3 linked regions of the Bombyx mori genome follow. The protein of the gene in region 1 purifies or fractionates together with the protein of each later gene. This does not show direct contact. Links are inferred from orthologs where the notes say so. Each region holds a gene or a part of one and is shown on either strand. Other genes may lie near its edges.

The links.
Region 2: the proteins of symplekin (region 1) and probable cleavage and polyadenylation specificity factor subunit 2 purify together in Drosophila melanogaster (affinity purification with western blotting; 3 studies listed by BioGRID). This does not show direct contact. The link is inferred for Bombyx mori from reciprocal best matches to the Drosophila melanogaster genes Sym and Cpsf100.
Region 3: the proteins of symplekin (region 1) and cleavage and polyadenylation specificity factor 73 purify together in Drosophila melanogaster (affinity purification with western blotting; 3 studies listed by BioGRID). This does not show direct contact. The link is inferred for Bombyx mori from reciprocal best matches to the Drosophila melanogaster genes Sym and Cpsf73.

What each region holds. Positions count from the first base shown.
Region 1 is NC_085124.1:2,849,458-2,853,115, reverse strand, and holds part of symplekin, read left to right. Parts: intron 1-1,663; coding exon 1,664-1,770; intron 1,771-3,104; coding exon 3,105-3,210; intron 3,211-3,658. UniProt on the Drosophila melanogaster protein: Component of a protein complex required for cotranscriptional processing of 3'-ends of polyadenylated and histone pre-mRNA. Involved in germline stem cell transit amplification, differentiation and mitosis-to-meiosis transition.
Region 2 is NC_085131.1:11,896,345-11,899,891, forward strand, and holds part of probable cleavage and polyadenylation specificity factor subunit 2, read right to left. Parts: intron 3,353-3,547; coding exon 3,262-3,352; intron 1,350-3,261; coding exon 1,226-1,349; intron 798-1,225; coding exon 622-797; intron 1-621. UniProt on the Drosophila melanogaster protein: Component of the cleavage and polyadenylation specificity factor (CPSF) complex that plays a key role in pre-mRNA 3'-end formation, recognizing the AAUAAA signal sequence and interacting with poly(A) polymerase and other factors to bring about cleavage and poly(A) addition.
Region 3 is NC_085125.1:191,118-195,419, forward strand, and holds the start of cleavage and polyadenylation specificity factor 73, read left to right. Parts: upstream 1-1,391; 5' UTR 1,392-2,471; coding exon 2,472-2,545; intron 2,546-2,768; coding exon 2,769-2,832; intron 2,833-3,108; coding exon 3,109-3,206; intron 3,207-4,302. Other genes in the region: protein KRI1 homolog, read right to left, coding at 488-602. UniProt on the Drosophila melanogaster protein: Component of the cleavage and polyadenylation specificity factor (CPSF) complex that plays a key role in pre-mRNA 3'-end formation, recognizing the AAUAAA signal sequence and interacting with poly(A) polymerase and other factors to bring about cleavage and poly(A) addition.

The sequences.
Region 1 (3,658 bases):
ATAATTTCGACACTGGTTGTAGTTTTAGGGTGACCATAATAAAATGTAGTTTATAATAATCAGACTTTATTTCCGCAATCAAGTACTAATGAAGATTTCAAGTAAGACTAAATGATGTGCTTTGATTCTCTTGAAGTATTTGCCTAGTTAAAATATTTAAATAACAAAACAAAATTTAAATGACAATAATAAAACTTCTAAGGATAATATGACACTTTCAAATAAAAACAAACAGGTCATTTATGTAAAATCATATTTTGTAGTCTGAAGTATTCATCATTCTTAGAAGATATTTCCCTAAATTAGTAACTGAAGATTATTTAAAAAATAAACGTTTCTTGATTTATTTTTAAATAAAAAGTAACAATAAAAATGTATATTACTTATTTGCGCATGTCCCATTTCATGACTAAAAAACACCAAGGCATTATAATATTTAAGTTACAAAGCAGATAAATTGACATAACGATACGAATAAATCGATCGCTTTTCTCTCAATAGTAAATCTACCCTTCATTTGATACTGAATTTTGTCTCGACCACCGTGTCCGTAACTTCTATGAATCTCTAACAATACATCGTAATAATCTTCTAACGGTATTACACGAACGGTTGGACTGCCAAGGCTATTCCTTTTTAAATAAGGTAGTCCAATTCACTGATGCTCATAACCTCGTATTTTTTTGACCTGTAGGAGTCCTCCGGGAACCAGATTCTGTGGCCACCTTAGCATTTTTTAGGTGCCGGATAACCTCAAAAATTTTACTATTTGTCCAAAGCTTTTTTACAGCTTCCGTTTGAGAATTGTATAATTTTTTTAATTCACTATAATATAAAGCTTTAAAATCAGAATTATTTTCTAAAATGTCTTCTCCACACGAAATATTTGCAGTTTTCAGTTATTTTTTGAGACACAAAATGACGCCATTGTTATTGTTTTGATCAACAGTGGCGCGCGTGGTAAAAAAATGAACTAAATACTTCAATTTGCCGCGGCATTATGAAAACGGTGTTTGAATTGTCGATGTTATGTTGTGGCATATTATAAAGTGACACGGCAATATACATTTTGCCTTCGGCATTTTACATAACGGCGAGCGTTTTTATAATGACGACGCCGTTTGTAAACGGCGGAATCATACAAATTGCCTGCGACATATACACACAGCCCACTGAGTTTCTCGCCGGATCTTCTCAGTGGGTCGCGATTTCGATTCGGTGGTAGATTCAACCACTGCTCTTGCTAGGGTTATTGTTAGCAAATTCTCTCAGGTTGAACACGTGAACTCACCTACCCGTCCGCGCGAAACTAGAATAGCCACTTAGACTACCAGCTAATAGGTATGAAGGAAAATTTACTATTATATGACATTGACCATATACAGCGATCACATGTAGTGTTTAGCTTGATGTATAAAAAAGTTTTAATTACTAGACCTTGTTTCGTGATGGAAATTTTATCAGTGGGTTGTTTTGGGAAAGGTATTTGTCACTATGCCCTCAAAATCCGACAGATGACCAGCGCGAAAAGTGTTAGCATTTGTTACATTTATTACATACGTTTGGTGAAACACAAACGAGCGTCACCAAACTTTGATAGCCAATTTAATAAAAAAAAATCAGTTTATTTTATTTGTTTAATATTTATTTTTTATGTTTCCAGTGCCTCCAACAGCCGAACTAGTGTCGAAAGTACGAGACATATACGCCACCAGAGTGTCCGACGTTAGATTCTTGATCCCCGTGCTCACCGGACTGTCAAAGAGAGAGGTAAATCGTGACCATTCATTTAAAACCACTCCGGAAAAAACAATACGCTTCAGCATTTAAATTTAACGCAAAGTTAACGTAAAATTTATATAGAGATGATATAATATTACGCGCTAGGGTTCGGGATAAATAAAATTCCACCAAAGTACAACTAAAAACTGTATTCAACACTTAAAGCACTTAAAACATTCAACAAACACTTTAAAACTCTCAGTTCGCTTGTTCCGCTTCGCTTCAGGTGATCCGTTCGCTGTTTCGCTTCGAGTAGTTCCGATTATTAACTGCCTGTGTGCCATCTCTGCAACGCTTTTATAGCCGATAGATGATACCACATCCCTAGAATTTCGAGAATATTCCACACATCTCTAATAGTAGTTTCCGATGTCTGTCGATAGATGGCGTTGTACTTCTCGAGCGTTCTAAGCGCTACTAGATCCTTCGATATTCGTTCGACTATTCGGCGATAGATGGCCTTACTCTTACCGGCGTAACAATAATAACAATAACATATTAGTATTTATTTTTGAATCGTTAACTCAATGTCAAGAAGAATAATTCTTTCAGCGGCCGGACAATCGCTGAGTCGCACAAAATGAGACGCACATTGGATATCTGTGTTTTAATTTCAAATTTAACATTACAAATCGTAATCTTTGTAAATGTATGTACTATATGAGTCGTCTATTATCAAAGGTGGCAATCTGTGCATTTGGACAAAAAAATCTTATTGATATGTCCATACAGATTGATTTGAATATAATCGTCTCCTTCAAAGAATACGGTTCAAAACCTGCGTTAAATAAAGGTTAATACTTAACCTGTTATTTATCTAAGATGTCGATCAGAAGAGTTTTGTGACTGCCAATGGAATACAAAGTCAATAATTCGTTTTTCTGATTTACCAATAATTGTCCAAAAGTCACATTGCCGGCTTTGATAATAGTCGACTCATATGTAGATATTTATTGGAACAGCTTGACACCTCAATGTCCTTATATAAATGCAATTATATTGTATAAATACATAATATAACAACATATTTTAATAGAAATCCTCAATTGAGTCTTCGATATCGCCACGGCATTCACGCCATGCCTACAGGCCACTTAACACCAAATGGGCCGTTAATTCATCCGGATACGCAATAATAATAAAAATAATCTAGATTGGTATAGGAACTGATGTTCGACAACCAATGAGGTATGAGGTAAAATTCTTAGAATACGTCAAAATTAAAAACGGTCCCCTATAATAATTGCAATTACATGTTAAAAATTGATTCCTTAAATGCCAAGGTTTAATCGAAACGGTAATATGTAAATGAATTATTTCAGATCGTGGCAGCCCTACCGAAACTAATCAAGCTCAACCCTGCCGTCGTGAAGGAGGTGTTCAACAAGCTGTTGGGAATCAACGGCACGTACGACGAGCAGTCGCCCGGTAGGTGGCGCCACCGACGCGGGTCTGAGAGAGAGAGAGAAAGAGAGAGCATACTTTATTGCTCACCAAAACACTATTAACATTAGACAGTCAACAAGCAGATACGTTTGTACAATAGGCGGTCTTATCGCTAATAGCAATTCAGACATCTGTCTTCTTTTTTTGTTATTTCGTTGATTGGTGGACGTGCTCACGTCCCACCTGATGTTAAGTGGTTACTGGAGCCCATAGACATCTACGACGTAAATGCCGCCACCCACCTTGACGTATGACTTCTAAGGTCTCAGTATAGTTACAACGGCTGCTCCAGCCTTCAAACCGACACGCATTACTGCTTCACGGCAGAAACAGACAGGGTGGTGGTATCTAACCGTGCGGACTCACAAGAGGTCCTACCACCAGTAATTACGCAATTAATTTTGCTGGTTTTATTTTTGTTACCATATGT
Region 2 (3,547 bases), on another chromosome or scaffold:
TAATAATACCTATTGATAAAGTCTCACAATTTATTGCTGGTTTGATTAACTATAAAATGTAAGTAGCATAAATATGTATGAAGTCTTCATGGCCTAAAGGATAAGACGCGGGGTGCACTTGTATTGAGCGATGCGACCGTGCCGGTGTTCGAATCCTGGCAGGCAGGTACCAATTTTGCTGATGAAATACGTACTTAATATATTATTATGTTCACGAATGTCTTTAACGGTGAAGGAATAACATTGTGTAACAAAAATTAAGCTCGCAAAAATTATAATTGGCTTTATTATTGATGGTAGGACCTTTGAGAGTCCGCACGGGTAGATATACTGAGACCTTAACTTATATATCTCAAGGCGAGTGGCGCATTTACGTTGTAGATATCTATAGGAGGCCTATACCCGAATGGGGTTCCAATGACACAAGTTTATATTTAATTTTGTATTTTTTTATTTGATAAGGTTTTTTTTCTTTCTTTATTATTATTTATCTATGGACTCCAGTAACCACTTAACACCAGGTGGGCTGTGAGCTCGTCCAGCCATCTAATCGTCAGCGGGTTGATTGATGATGCTTGTGCGCGTATGTATTGCGTGTATGTAGTGTGGGTGTGCGGGTACCCTGCGCACGGCGAGCGTCCCGGAGCAGCAGGTGAGCGTGCCGGCGCCGAGGTCGGGCTGCAGGCCGGCGCGGGCGAGGGCGGCGCGCAGCTCGTGCAGCCGCACCGTGTTCACGAACGCAGCCGCGCGCGGCCGCCCCGCACCCGCCTCCAGCGACACCGCACCGCCGCCCTCCTCTGCGACAACAACAACACTTTATACTAAGTATGGAGAACCCTCTGAGAGGTAAGGAGAACCGTCTCTGTGTGTAAAAATTATCCGTTAAAATCTGCTTATAACGAGTGGCGCTACAGTAGCAACCGAGTAAATTTTAAATAAATAATAGTTTAAAAAAAAACTAAAAAACACGCTTTATATAAAATTCAACAAAAAAATAGAAAATAAATTTAAATTATCGTATAAAAAGTTTTCATTAAAATTAACATAAGACTTGACCTAAAGGTCTTAGTTACCAGGTCATAAAAAACTTCAAGTAGTTAACTTTCACTATACGTGTCGGATCGTGCTCGGTGCGTACGCACTTACAAAGTTGTTGCATGACAGAGGTAGCAGCTATTACAGAACATAAGACATCTAGACTAGTGCTAATGACAGTGTCAGTTACCGGGGGCGGCGTCGCTCTCCCGGGCGTGCGTGCGCGGCGCCACGACGGCGGACAGCCAGGCCAGCTCGGCGTCCCCGGCCTGCCGCCACACCAGGCCCCGCATCAGCCCGTCCGTCAGTTTCACCTTCGATCATACACATTCACATCTTTAATAACCATTCGCACCGAGAATTCCCCACACCCCGTGCCTCGATCAAAGAAGTCGCCAACAACTAGACAATATAACTAACGTTTTTAATACGCTTTTATTAGTTTCAAGACGTATGTATGTTAGTATGTAACGGAATCTTTGAATGAGATATTGACCCCCTTCAAAACATCGGATTAATTTGCGAAATTTGGTATACTTAGGATAGATGACAATGCAATATTAAAAAAAAAATTGAAAACATTGAAATTCAACTAAAAAATGAAAAATAAATAATAGTTTAAAAAAACTAACAAAATACGCTTATATAGAAAATGCAACTAAAAATAGAAAAAAAAAAAATGTGTGCGTGTACTAGTGTACACACGTAAGAAGTGAAACTTCTTTATGGCCTTATTTTTCGAAAAATGATCTACATGCAACTTTCTAGAAATTGGTTAAATAAAGTTAAATTAGATAAAGTTTAAACAAAAGGATTTTATTATCATAGACATGAATACAAAAATGATCTACATGCAACTTTCTAGAAATTGGTTAAATAAAGTTAAATTAGATAAAGTTTAAACAAAAGGATTTTATTATCATAGACATGAATACAAAAAAGATGGCGCGTAACGGAAAAATGTGACGCGTAACCGAAAAATGTGACGGTAAATTTTTTTCCAACGCCGATAAAGAAGTTTCACTTCAATAAATTTTAATAAATTCGAATTAAAAATAGTGTAAGAAGAAATGATTTTTGGAACGAAGTTCCTTACGGCAGGCTTGGGGGAGATAGGGATTTTGCTGCGCGACCGAACTGAAAATAATGTGATAGTAAAAACCGTAAGAAAAAGTCCGTGGAATAAGGCCTTGTTTTCCGCACAGAGATATTTCACCGCGCGATTTTTTTCTCGTAATTCTTTTTTTTTTTTTTATATGGAACTTCGTTCCTATCCGGTGTCCCACGACACCACACATGTTTTTTTGTAAAAAAAAAGAGTGATGTGCTTGGTATCAGTAGTTATAAATATTTAATGAACAGATATGAGTAGAAGGGTTATTTTAATAATATTTTGAAAAGCTCCCCACGCTTTTTGAAGTGAAACTTCCTTATCGGCGTTGGAAAAAAATTTACCGTCACATTTTTCGGTTACGCGTCACTTTTTTCCGTTACGCGCCATCTGTTTTGTATTCATGTCTATGATAATAAAATCCTTTTGTTTAAACTTTATCTAATTTAACTTTTTTGTATTCATGTCTATGATAATAAAATCCTTTTGTTTAAACTTTATCTAATTTAACTTTATTTAACCAATTTCTAGAAAGTTGCATGTAGATCATTTTTCGAAAAATAAGGCCATAAACAAGTTTCACTTCTTACGTGTGTACACTAGTACACGCACACATTTTTTTTACAATAAAATCATTTTTCCTTCACACTATTTTTAATTCGAATTTATTAAAATTTATTTTTTTATTTTTTAGTTGGATTTTCTATAAAAGCATAATATTTTAGTTTTTTTGAAGTGAAACTTCCTTATCGGCGTTGGAAAAAAATTTACCGTCACATTTTTCGGTTACGCGTCACTTTTTTCCGTTACGCGCCATCTGTTTTGTATTCATGTCTATGATAATAAAATCCTTTTGTTTAAACTTTATCTAATTTAACTTTTTTGTATTCATGTCTATGATAATAAAATCCTTTTGTTTAAACTTTATCTAATTTAACTTTATTTAACCAATTTCTAGAAAGTTGCATGTAGATCATTTTTCGAAAAATAAGGCCATAAACAAGTTTCACTTCTTACGTGTGTACACTAGTACACGCACACATTTTTAAACTATTATTTATTATATTCGAGTATATTCAGAAAATAATGTTGTTAACGGGCAGTTCTGTTGGTACCTGATAGATGTGTGACTCTGTCGTGGCGTCGACGGTTTCCCCAACGGACGGTAAGAACACCTTTTCGATTCCTTCAGACTCACAATGTTTTCTGTAACAAAAATAGTCAATTGTTTCTAGGGCGGACAGTGAAGAGTCCGTGGCCTTACGGTCAAGAAACAGTCCGCGCTGGATTTACACTAGGGGCGGTCGGGGCAAGTGCCCAGGGCGGTAAAATTTTGAATGTGAAAAAATTTACAATTATTACAAAAAAAAATTTATATATATTTATGTTTTTGGAATATAT
Region 3 (4,302 bases), on another chromosome or scaffold:
AAGATTTTAGGAGCCAAATCGGGTTTCCCTTCCACATGATACTGAACACCATTGGAAATATAAAAACTAGAATAACCGAAGTAGTTTATGATTTTCATTTCATTTAACACTGCAGAAATTGCAGTAAATTTAATTTAAAATAAATAGAAAAATTCATTTCGAGAGTCAAACATATCAATGAAACTCAGCTAATTAAAAATTAGAATAACACTGGGGCTTTGACATGATGAATATACAACGCTATTATTGGATTCGACGGCGTCTTGTCATGTCAAACTTAGCAGAGGCAGCTCATCTAGTGTTCACTGATGTTTATTTATCTGACAGCAGTTTGCCTGCTCACAAGTCAAATGGAGTCAAGATTTTCAATAATTTTGAATTAACCTCATTTTAATCAGTAAATAGCAATATTTTATAATATGTAATGTAATAATTTACACTTCTGGTTTTCTGAAACAACTCAGAGAACTTAAATTAGACTCCTCACATTTATGTAATTCTTCCTTCTCACGCCACGAATCGTACTTCTTTGCGTATTCATTTTCAGTTTTAAATGTGACCTCATCCGCTGAATCTTCATCAAACAACTTCTGCTTCGGCATTACAATTATTTCAATGAATGCAACCCTTATTTATTTCATTAGCTGTAAATTTATAAATTTCATTAGCACACGTGTATTTTGTCAATATTTATTATGTTGACAGTTTGACAGTATTAGTTTTCCAACTGGAAAAGCAAAGGTATCATACCATAAGCGTAATCTTTTGTTTATTATCTTTATCTATATATATATATATATACAATTGAACTGCTGTTCGTTAGTCTCACTAAAACTTCAGAACGCCTGAACTGATTTGTCTAATTTTGGTCTTTATTTGTGGAAGTCCAGAGAAGATTTAAAAGGAAGGTAGATAAATATGAAAATGCTCGGAATCAAATAAAAATAACAATTTAGTTTTCCCTTTGATGTGTCCTCCGTCGGACGCATTGATTTTTTTTGTTTTAAGTTTATTTTATACAAAAGTTTAGGTCTTTTATTTGTCGATTGAGGCACTACGAAGTCTGCCGGGTCAGTTAGTCTTTATATATATTTCTTCTGTGCGTGTGTTTGTCACTGAATTCCTCCTAAACGGCTGGACCAATTTGAATGATTTTTTTTGTATGTGTTTGGGTGGTGTCCTGGATGGTTTAGATTCACAAATCAGCCCGGCAGATGGCGCTGCAGTCGATATCTAGGTTAATTTATCTTTCTTAGAAACTTTTTTTAAGGCAAAACAATGCTTGCGGGGTTAGCTAGTAATTATTACATATCTTGTGGCGGTAGCTATCAGATAACACAAGATATTTGTCAAATGCCTGAATCTCGCTTACGACCTTTTCAAGATAAGCTTGCATATAAACAAGTTCCAAACAACAACATTCGGATTATCGGTCTACCGAGCAATATCACCCGCTCGGGGGAACATCTTCCTTTCGTCGTTATACCTACACCCTACTCGTATTTAATTATTTTAATAATCTGTGAGGGGGGCTTTGTTTTATTGGAGAAGAAAAATACTTTTTTGGCGGGAATGCGAAGAGTGAAGTTGTATGAATTGTTTAGTTTTGTCTATTTAGTGTTTCTTCAGGTTTAAATTTGTAACAACGGTGGTTTATTAACTGTTTAATATCTGTTTAACTGTTGTGAAAGTGCACAAATGTGGGAAAATGAAACAAAGCCGCTGGTCGTAGCTTCTCGGGATCCTTCAAAAAGTCTAATTTTTTTTTCCTACCTAAGCTGGTAGCCTTGAGAGGCTATTCCAGCGTAACCTTAACTAGTAGGTGAACTCACGGGGCTCAAACCTAACGACGTTGCTAACACCAACCCTAGCAAGAGCCGTGCTTCGCAGAATCTACCACCGGATCGGAAACGCGACCCACTGAGAAGATCCGGCGAGAAACTCAGTCGCCTATGTCTGTGGGTCAAAAAGTCTCAGTAAATATAACCACCATATTACTGAGATTATATTTTATCCCATATCATCTTATCTCATTTCATTTCATTTTATTTCGTGACAATTGATTAATGTTCCAAATTAATCAACTTCATTTCATTTCACTTCATATCATTTTGATTAAAAAATTATAAAAGATTAAGTTGTATGCTACGAATAAATAATAACTTATCAGTTATTCGTAGGTTGTATGATATGATTTATACCTTTGCCTATCCAGCTAGAAAAATAAAACTACTACTACTCTACTACTGGAGAAGAAAAAAAATCGGTACCGTACCATAACCTAACATGTTTCTAAATTGTAACTGACTGGATTACAGGAACTGATTCTAACTTATAAAGTAAATCTTAATGGTAGTTATTATACGTTATTTGATTAATCGTCACTTATAATATAACACCACAAAGTTTTATCTTATTGTGATTAAGCTATTGGTTAAATCCCTGTAAATGAATATTTGTAAATAAACAAAATGACTACAAATCCAAGAAAAGGCACTGATCCAGTGCCTGCGGAGGAAAGCGATCAATTGACAATAAGACCACTGTAAGTAAAATAATTAATGTGAACAAGTTTCAAAACAATACAGACTTTAAGCTTCCTTAAACACCTTCTTTATTATTACTTAATATTACACTCAAAATTAACAAAAAAAGTAATAAAAATTCAATGTTATGAACTGGCTTAGATGCTAATATTAATAAAACAATACAGTAATACTATAACATGTTTGCTTAAAAAAATTGAAGCTTAGAAAATATATTTTCAGTGGAGCTGGCCAAGAAGTTGGCAGATCATGCATCATGTTGGAGTTCAAAGGGAAAAAGATAATGGTTAGTTTATGTTTCATGTTCCTATTTCATGTTTTGCAGTATTAAAGTATGGCCCCAGAACTGTACACATTCACTTTCTCAGGTTTGACAAGATGAGGCAGTGGTGTAATATATCAATTATGTGTGTGTGTAGTGATGTGCCCTTTACAGTATTTATAGCAATATTGTAATATTCACATAGTATAGACATTCATTGTGGCTAAGTTATATAATTCAAAAGAAGTATATATTTTAAAATTTACAATATTATGGACAAAAATATTCATATTTTTTTAGTTGGACTGTGGCATCCATCCTGGTTTGTCTGGAATGGACGCCCTACCCTTCATAGACCTTATAGAGGCAGACGAAGTGGATCTTCTGTTAGTTTCACAGTAAGTATGTTTTTATAAAACCATATTGATGAACAGCAATTATCTGTCTGGTCTTAAATACAATAATCACCCATTTATTAACGGCTGTCTGGTGTAGTGGTGAGTGACATGGTCACTACACACGGGGGTCGCAGGTTCAAATCCCGCCAAGGGAAGATATTTGTAAGATAAATATAAAACGTCTTTTCCAGTGTTATGGAAGTATATTAAATATATGTATGTCTATGATAAATATCTTACATATATTTCCGTTATCTGGTACCTGTAACACAAGATTTTTACGAACTTAGCATGGGACTAGTTAACGCGGCGTGATTGTTAGTAAATATTTATTATTATTATTTATAAACACCCTCTATTGAAAGGCCTAAAGTATTCTAGGTGATGTGTATATTGGGTTGCAGTCACCTATTAAGGAGTGTGTAGAAATTAAAGTCAATTGGTAGTTAATGATTTATTGCGCGATTTATAGCACACCGAGAATGACCGGCGCTACTAACTGTACGTTACACACTGCCCTAATACAGAATATGTGGTACTATGTATAAAAATATATAAAACTCCCGGTGCATTCGTATTGAGTACTGTGCCAGTGTTTAAATTCCACAGACCATGGTACCAATTTTTCTAATGAAATATTAAACGTACTTGACAAATGTTCATAAATGACTATAGTGAAGGAATAACATTGTGTCATAGAAACCAAACACTGGTAATTACTGATGGAGGGTCATCTTGTCAGCCTGCTCAGATATATACCACCGCCCTGCAAATTTCTGCTGTGAAGCAGTAATGTGATTTGGTTTTTATGATGGGACATCCTTTAGGCTGTAAAACTAAGATTCGGAACTCATATCTCATGGTGGGTGGTGGCATGTTGCATATATGTTGCTGATGTCTAAGGGCTTTGGTAAGCACTTAGCACCATGTGGGTCCTGAACTCAACCTCTAATCTTAGCAATAGCTGTAAAAGTTCCAGATATTCAGAGTTGTAAGTGCCATTATTACAGGTAGGCTGGTAGGCAGGAAGATGGCGGTTGGAAGGTATAAGCAGCCTAATCTGTCTATCCTCTTTCAAGTCCGATTTTGTGTGTTA